2 linked regions of the Arabidopsis thaliana genome follow. The protein of the gene in region 2 interacts with the protein of the main gene of each other region in a pairwise test. Each region holds a gene or a part of one and is shown on either strand. Other genes may lie near its edges.

Region 1 (3,530 bases), on a different chromosome or scaffold from region 2:
CTCTAACAGGTTGGCCAAAACGTACCTAGATGTAATGAAAATAACTATATAATTACTACTTTATTAATCTGTAACAAAAACAAAAAGCCTATGTTTTTTTTTTATTAGATGACATTTTTAAACACCACACCAGTCAACACCAGATTTTTGCTTTTGACCTTTGTATATTATTATCATTTTAAATTATACGTTTGAATAACTAACTTACAAAAAAAAAAACAATAAATTTCAGCTTTTTGTCCATAAATTTATTCCAAAGAAAAACTACTATATATTGTGATGTATAAACAAATGTCAAGGGTATGTGATGCTGCTGCCTGTCGCAGACCGAAAGCGACACAACTTACCTTTTTTGATAACATACCAAACTATATAATTGATCGCGTTCATTTTCCGAAAATATATGCCGAATGCGGCGGGGCTATAAATAATAGTTTGATCGATCGGCTTGTTTATCATCCATACTCAAGGCCTCGAATTAACACTTCTTTGTCACATCGTCGATGGAACGAGTAAGAGATTTGGCATCGGAGAAGGCGGCTGTGATATTCACGAAGAGCTCGTGTTGCATGTGTCATAGCATCAAGACTCTCTTCTACGAACTCGGGGCGAGTCCTGCCATCCATGAGCTTGACAAGGACCCGCAAGGCCCTGACATGGAACGGGCCCTCTTCCGGGTATTCGGGTCTAACCCTGCTGTCCCTGCGGTTTTCGTAGGAGGAAGGTACGTCGGCTCAGCTAAAGACGTCATCTCCTTCCACGTGGATGGCTCCCTCAAGCAGATGTTAAAGGCCTCTAACGCCATATGGTTGTGACTACATATCATCACGCTTCTTACTATCATTTATTCTACACACACTAGTTCATATTATGTCATCTCGTGAATAATACATACATATATTTATCTAAGCTTGCATGAATATTGAATTATACTTTTAGTAACCATATATATAGAAGATTATGCATGCTCCGATGCTCGTGGAGATTAATTATCAGTTGATACGGAGAAACTAGACTGTAATCAATCATCACGTAAAGATTTCTGTTAATATCGGAATATCATCTGGATTTAGCATAATATCTTCCGATTATAGAAAAAAATGTACGTAGTATAATACCTAACCGATATACAAATGAATATCGAACGTAACTATGCTATAACTAGTATATATATGATCGTTTTTGAATCAAACATAAAAGAGAATCTCGCTCATGAAAAGATTACTACACCCACAAAACAATCGAAAAGTAAGCCAAGAATGACGCAGCAGAGTTAACATATGCGTGTGATTCACGCGTGCGTCCGGCAAGAAAGACATTTCGAGAGAAGTGAATCAAACATTAGTGTAAGTGTGAAAGAAGAATATATAAAAAAGAAAGATGGAATAATTTTCTTTGGCAAGTTGGTGTTGGCGGAATCACCATGTACGATGCATATTGTTGATACATATATATACATGTTTATCACCGAAAGGTCCAATCTTTTTCATTTATCCTCACTTTGCGCAATGACTCAATCAAAGGAGATATGTTGAGAGAATCCGTTAGATTATAAATTGACAAGCCTCTTTTCTTTTTCTAGGGGTATTAATCATGCTATATTTCTTGTCACATTGATTTGAATATCAGCAGTTTAAGAAAATCGCTTAGCCAAAAGTTATTAAGAAATCGTCTGATTTCTATCATTGTTGTAATCAATTTGATAAGCTAGCTTCAACTTTCATATCTATGTTAGTGTTTCAAAATTACTATCATATGCATTCCGTTCATACTTATTTCATCAATTAGTCCATGCATGCATGTGCTTATTATTTAGATTAATTATATTTATGTCACTGGCAATGCGTATACTATTATTAACCCACAAAAAGGTGAAACTGATTACAATTTTTCGAATCGTATTCGTAAATTACTAATCAACATGTTATGACGATCAAAACAACTGCAGCGTTACCGTAGAAATAAAAATAAATTGAATAACTTAGAAGTGAGAGTAATGTTTGCAACTTGTGCAGTCAAACAGAATATAAATAAGAAGAAAAATTCTCAAATAGGCATCTGATATTTTATCTTTCCTTTTTGATATTTTCTTAGAAATAAACTACATTTTAAATGGTCTTTTCTTTCTAATTAGCAAGAAAAAAACACACTCGAAAGACTCACTCCCTTCCTATAAATAGGCGAGCAAATGTCAAGCTTTTTACATACTCAAAACAAAACAAAACATACATCAAAACGCTAAAGTTTAAACCCCTAGCCATCATCAGATCTTCAGACTTCTGAGGATCATGGACAAAGTGATGAGAATGTCTTCAGAGAAAGGAGTGGTGATCTTCACGAAGAGCTCATGTTGTCTCTGCTACGCCGTTCAAATCCTGTTCCGTGACCTTAGGGTTCAACCAACCATCCACGAGATCGACAACGACCCGGACTGCCGTGAGATCGAGAAGGCTCTTCTCCGGCTCGGCTGTTCCACGGCGGTTCCAGCTGTCTTTGTCGGAGGCAAGCTTGTTGGCTCCACCAATGAAGTCATGTCCCTTCACCTTAGTGGCTCTCTTGTCCCATTGATCAAACCCTATCAGTCCATCCTTTACTAGCAAAATTAAACCAACTCAATATATAATATCTAATTATTAGCTAGTGAGAATAAACACAGTTACAGCTAGAGTGTGAGCTAGCTAGATATTCAGTGAGGACTTCGTCTGAATTAATGTTTATCGTTTGTATGTTCTATTGTTTAGCTTCTCTCGTGTTTCAGTTTAGTTAATCAACTGGTGTATGTTGATGTATGACTCTCTGTTTATGCTAATGAAAATAGTATTGAAACTTTTACATTTTTTCCCACACAATTAGTAACGATCTCTTGTGTATGTTGAGTAATTTAGGGCTTTCCATATAATAAGGCAAGAAACCGTTTATACTTGTCTGTTTTTAACATGGTATCAGAAGGAGGCTACACACAAACCATTTTCTTATTTAGAAATATTCACATACACTGACAGTAGCTAGAATAAAAATGTGAATGGCCAACACATGCATGAACTCGTCTTCTAATTATCAAGATGTAATGTATAAGTTGGCTTCATCATTATTAGTTAGACCTATTGATAGTTAACATTATATCGGGCGATATACAGATTTAGCCTTTGTGATGTTGTGTTTAGAGCGTACTTTTGAATCAAGGATAAATCAGTGCCCATTAGAGTATATATAAATCGAATGTGAAAAATATTAGATCAGAATAGACTTAATTAGTCTCCACCATACAAATTTGGTAAGAAGAAAAACAATGATAAGATACCAGTGGCCTAATGCAACTAAAGCAGTTTGAGGAAGAGGATGGAAGATCTTTCGCGGTCCAAGTATATCATGGCTACACAAAATCACTGCTCTTTTTGCGTTCCTTTATTCTTGAGTATCTTCACGTTTAATTTACTATTATTTTCTAATGAAAAATTGTACACCTTTTTATATATATGAACTCTTTGTTTTTTCGTTAGTTGCTCGTGTAGTAAATTAAACATATATGC
Region 2 (4,776 bases):
ACATGTCCATATGAAGATCTTTTGTCAGTTCTCTTGCTCTCAGAACAAGGTGGAGTTTTCCTCTTATTCGAATGCGAATCATCATCAACATCATCATCAAAAAGGCTGAGATCCTCCACCCCAAGAAGCAAGGGTTTGCGATATTCCATAGTGAAAAAGGCTACAGAGTCACTTTTCACTGTAAACCTATATAGCTCCCATGTTGAACCATTGTTCATAGCAAAACGTGGTATAAATTTATCACGTACATAGTTCCTTCGATGCCGTTCTTTAACCAGTTTCCAAACCCCTTGGTCGGGCACGAACAGCGCGAGAAACAGCCATATGCTATGTTTCTCGCTACATGTCAAATTTGTAGGAAACATATCCGTGCGGAGCTATAGACAATAACTGACTGTTTTCTTGAAGGTTTGGTATCCCCGGACTTCCACGAAGCTCCGGATAACTAAGGCTTTCTAAGATTCTCCGCAATACTACGTCTTCAAGTGTATAAGTTTGCCATGTTGTGTGAAGTGCGTTCTTGATAAGCTTGTTGAAGATGGTCAGGTTGGCAGTACATAGCTCCTTGTGGGCGTCGTCGTCGACAGTCCCATAAGGAACACTTTTCATCAACAAACAAAGACAGAGAAAGATGATTGCCATTGTTAGCCATGTTTTAGTACCACCTATTCACGGACAACGTGAGTGCAGAGAAGGAAAGAGAGAGGGGATAGAGTTGGAAAAGATCACTAGGTTTCTGATTTCCATAAATACAATTTTTGTTTAAGGGCTTAAGATTATTCCTTTAACCCCGACGAATCGAATGGGCTTAAAAACATTTCTTTAACCAAAATCTTCTTCTGTATTATTCTCATTAGCATTATAATTCTTTACACAACAGAAAATAAATGAAAGGACAACAAATGATGGGTCAATCCAAAACTAGAAACCAAAAGAAGAGCAACTTCAATATGTAATCATAGGGTCTGGATCCGACGAGTCAGTGGGAGATTTGTTGTTGGACTGACGCATTGAGTTGAATAATTCATCTTTTATGACCTACAAGTACAACAATGATGGATTTTGAGTCTGTGAAATACACGAACCTTAAGGGAGATATGTCACCATTTCGTTTCAATATTATTACTCACCTGCGACATTAGTCCATGGACCTGTTCCACAGTTATCTTTGCGCTATCCCGAGTTATCTTAGTTAGTTGAGACTCATCCTGAAAGTGATTTAGAACACACGTCAAATGAGATCTTTAACAAGCAACACCCATTAACATTCTCGAAAGTTATATATCTGTACAACCTTCAACAACACTTTCATTTCAACTAAACAGAACACCTCCAGGTCCCAATAACCAAAACATTTGAAGATATATCCTCTTAGTAGCTAGATGTTTACAGAGGCACTTAACTAGCCACCGTAATCGCAATTAAAATTTGATGAACCACTAGGACATACCTCTTTTTTCTTATGAAGGGATGATGGCACAACTCCTCCAAAGCGAGACTGAACCAGATGACTCTCGGCTTGCTCAAGCTTCTCAGCTTCATTGGTAAAATTACGAAAACGATTATATAACACATTACTTGACTGTGACTTGAGAAAAAAAAGTAAGAGTGAATGATTTAGGCCATATCCAAGAGTTTACCTAAGTCTGATATTTGTCCAGCAACATAGTCTCCATTACCCAGCAGTGGAGAAGAAGAAAGAGTGTTCACCCAGTACTTGTTCCATAGTAGATCCAGAAGGTGAGAATCAAGAGATGACTTGAAATAAGTGACATCTAATGAATAGTACTGCCAAAACCAAAAGCCAAACATAAGAATCATGTTGGGACCTTGCACCGAGAAAAATCAAGAAAATGTACCTGTTTGCAGTGAACACCAAAGTCCTCAATCTTATTTAAAGGAATAGTTTGATACTCAGAAACAGGTTCATCTGGAGGCTTATATCCTTTAGAGTATGTTCTGAAAGCACCAATCTCAACCTTACCAGCTGAAACAGTCCTTGTGGGATCAATAACAACAGCTAAAAATGGCTCCTGATGCTGTTGGTTAAGCCTCTGCGTAGAAACATCAATACCGGAGAGCCAGCATCCATATCCAGGGTGAGAGTGATACCATCCAACAACATTCTCCAGCCGCCCCGCCTTATAAAGGTCAAGTTATTATAACCATAATCAATCAAACTGTTCTGACTTATATACAAACTTTCTAAAGAAAAAAATCAAAACTTTGAAGTTTCTTGAATCTCACTTACGAGCTTGTTGGTCTGTGAATACTCAACCATGTACTCATAAGCATCATCCTGAGCATTAACCCTTGTCTCAGTACCTTCCACTGGTAAAGCAAAAGCATCCATAACAATGATAGTATCACCATCGGTCTTACCTTGCATAAGACCCATTATTTCAATTGTACCACCAGAGCGAGCGTGAACCACCATCTTAAGAAGAGCGAGCGCTGAGATCTTGACTCGTTTAAAGTAGTGAGGATCATTCTCCCACGGTTTCTCTTGCTGGAACCTAGTCTGTGAAGTATCGTCGTAGTAGAAGATGTTGTCGGAGGTTGAATCAGGTGAGTCTACTGTTAGAATGCTGTTCTCTAGTTCCCATGTCTTCCTTGCTATCGTCGACGACGAACCCTCCATTCTTTTTCGAATTAGGAATTCAGTTGCAGAAATCTAGGGTTTCATACGGAATCGATGGAGTGTGATCGATCTGTCTGCTGAAGAATTGAAAACTGTGTCAAAAATGTTACTTCGGGGATTGACTTATATATAAGAAGAGAAAAGTGGTGAAAATTAATTCCTCTGGATTCTTCTCTAATTTAGAAATAAAATTTAAAATCCTTTTAGTTTGTTTTTTTTTTTTTTTTTTTGACGGTATTAAAATCTTTTAATTGAATAACACAAAATTTTAAAATCTATTAAACATGATTTACAAAGATATAAACTCCAATAACACTAAATTTTAAAATTGAATTTAAAATCATTAATTAAATAACAGTGTATTAGTGTTGGATTTCTTTCTATTAAAATCCATTAATAAATAACGTCCCCTTGTAAAACCGTAGATTTCTTCCCTCTTCTAAAATAATTTATTGAATTACTTCAGCTTTTCTATCAGAGTGTCAGACCCTTTGCTAAAAGAACACGTATTGCTTTTTATACAGACACTGACACGTCAGTTTTCCGGTTCGGTTTTTTTACTGGTTTGTCGGTTTGGTTTGATTTGAGATTTTGGACGGACGAGTTTACAAATACGTTATGAGTGACTATGTTTGTAATTGATTCAAAATCATATTATACTGATATTCTTATTCTCCTGCAATCTGTTGACTTTATCTTCTGTCTAATTTATGTGAGAGATGTCTAAGAAACTGTAGCTACAAAACTAGAAACCTTATCTAGCAAATGCAAAATAGCCATGATTGTCTAATTTATCTTCTCCTCTTTTGAAACTTCAGGAGCATTGAATTTACAGTTCTGCTTTAGATTCCAAGTCTTGTTCTGTATCTTCAGAGATGTCATTTGATGGAAGAGGATTAGGCTTGTCTGTAGCAGGAGCAGCTACTGGCTCGTTGAGTTCCACATCTTCACCCAAGATTTTTGCTGTGAATTTTCGTGCTTCGAGATCAAGATCGGGCCATTCGGTTACGATTCTTCGGGCACCCTGCAGAAGAACACCGCATTATAACAAACAACGCTTTGTGAGTGTTGTAGATATGAGGAAAGCCATCATTTTACCTGAAGCTTTGGTTCCTTTGTCATGGGATTATTGCAAAGATCGATTGTTCTGGCCTTGGCTTTTGTGGCGTTTCCACACCAGGATTCACACCACAACCACTCTTGGGGAAGTGAAAATATAGGAACAGTATGCTGAGCATAATTAGGAAGATCCTGAAACAAAATAATGACATGCCATCAATATGTTTGAACCTGGAACTCTAAAGATTCAGAGCATGGTGTATGGTAAGAGTCAAATGCAAAAGCCTTTCAAATAAAGTAAAACGATAGTGTGACCACCAAAGAAAGGTTACAGCCCTAAGTATAGAGAACCATATTATACAACTTGCCTGATCTAGGTTGGACAAACTGTTTGGATCCTTGCTAAGCGTCTCATAGAATACTCTTAGATTATCTCCTGCCGCTGTCTCTCGGAACTTAACCAAGTCAACAACGTATAGAGCACTACAGATAGAACAAGGCACATTAAGAATGGGAAAAGCAACAACTTACTGAGGTTCAAGTAGGTTTTTTTACCTGATATGGTATGGCCTACCACGTAAATGTTCTTTCCAGAAACCCTGTTCAAAGCAATTGAGAATGTAAGAGTATGGAAACCAAAACTACCTCTACAAGCAAAACAAAAAGATTAATGTTTACCTGTTTCCAAAATTTATAGCCATCCATTTCCCTGTTGTTGTCACAAAAAGGAGTATACGCGAGAGGTCTTCCTTTAATATCCATATCATACAGTTCTCCCATGTCTGTCCTTATAATTTGATCTGCGTCGACAAATATAACCTACAGAACACATGTCGAATACCTTATAGTGACATCTTCCAAGCATCAAAATCGCAAGAAAGAAATGAAAATATGATCATCTGTACCTTTTCCAATGAGAGAGGAAATATGACATCAAGGAAAAGAATTTTGTAGGCCCAAATAATTCGTTGCTTTTCTTTCTGTTTATGCAACCAGGACGGCCATTTGTATGTAATCAGCTCATACTCAAAGTTGTATTCTTGTGCCATATGTGGAATCACATCCTGCAAGATTAG

The links. The genes of interacting proteins can lie anywhere in the genome.
Region 1: the proteins of CSN5B (region 2) and AT2G47880 interact in binary tests that used the Arabidopsis thaliana proteins (3 or more experiments, as listed by UniProt).

Annotation. Positions count from the first base shown.
Region 1 is NC_003071.7:19,602,836-19,606,365, forward strand, and holds AT2G47880 (Glutaredoxin family protein), read left to right. Parts: upstream 1-2,194; 5' UTR 2,195-2,288; coding exon 2,289-2,597; 3' UTR 2,598-2,869; downstream 2,870-3,530. Other genes in the region: AT2G47870 (Thioredoxin superfamily protein), read left to right, coding at 504-815; AT2G47885 (uncharacterized protein), read right to left, coding at 2,396-2,533. UniProt on the Arabidopsis thaliana protein: Has a glutathione-disulfide oxidoreductase activity in the presence of NADPH and glutathione reductase. Reduces low molecular weight disulfides and proteins.
Region 2 is NC_003070.9:26,850,425-26,855,200, reverse strand, and holds CSN5B (COP9-signalosome 5B), read right to left. Parts: upstream 2,796-4,776; 5' UTR 2,642-2,795; coding exon 2,252-2,641; intron 2,142-2,251; coding exon 1,860-2,141; intron 1,789-1,859; coding exon 1,641-1,788; intron 1,537-1,640; coding exon 1,451-1,536; intron 1,209-1,450; coding exon 1,131-1,208; intron 1,039-1,130; coding exon 946-1,038; 3' UTR 782-945; downstream 1-781. Other genes in the region: AT1G71235 (uncharacterized protein), read right to left, coding at 1-178, 396-642; EBS1 (EMS-MUTAGENIZED BRI1 SUPPRESSOR 1), read right to left, coding at 3,471-3,665, 3,740-3,892, 4,069-4,183, 4,256-4,299, 4,379-4,519, 4,606-4,764. UniProt on the Arabidopsis thaliana protein: Probable protease subunit of the COP9 signalosome complex (CSN), a complex involved in various cellular and developmental processes such as photomorphogenesis and auxin and jasmonate responses.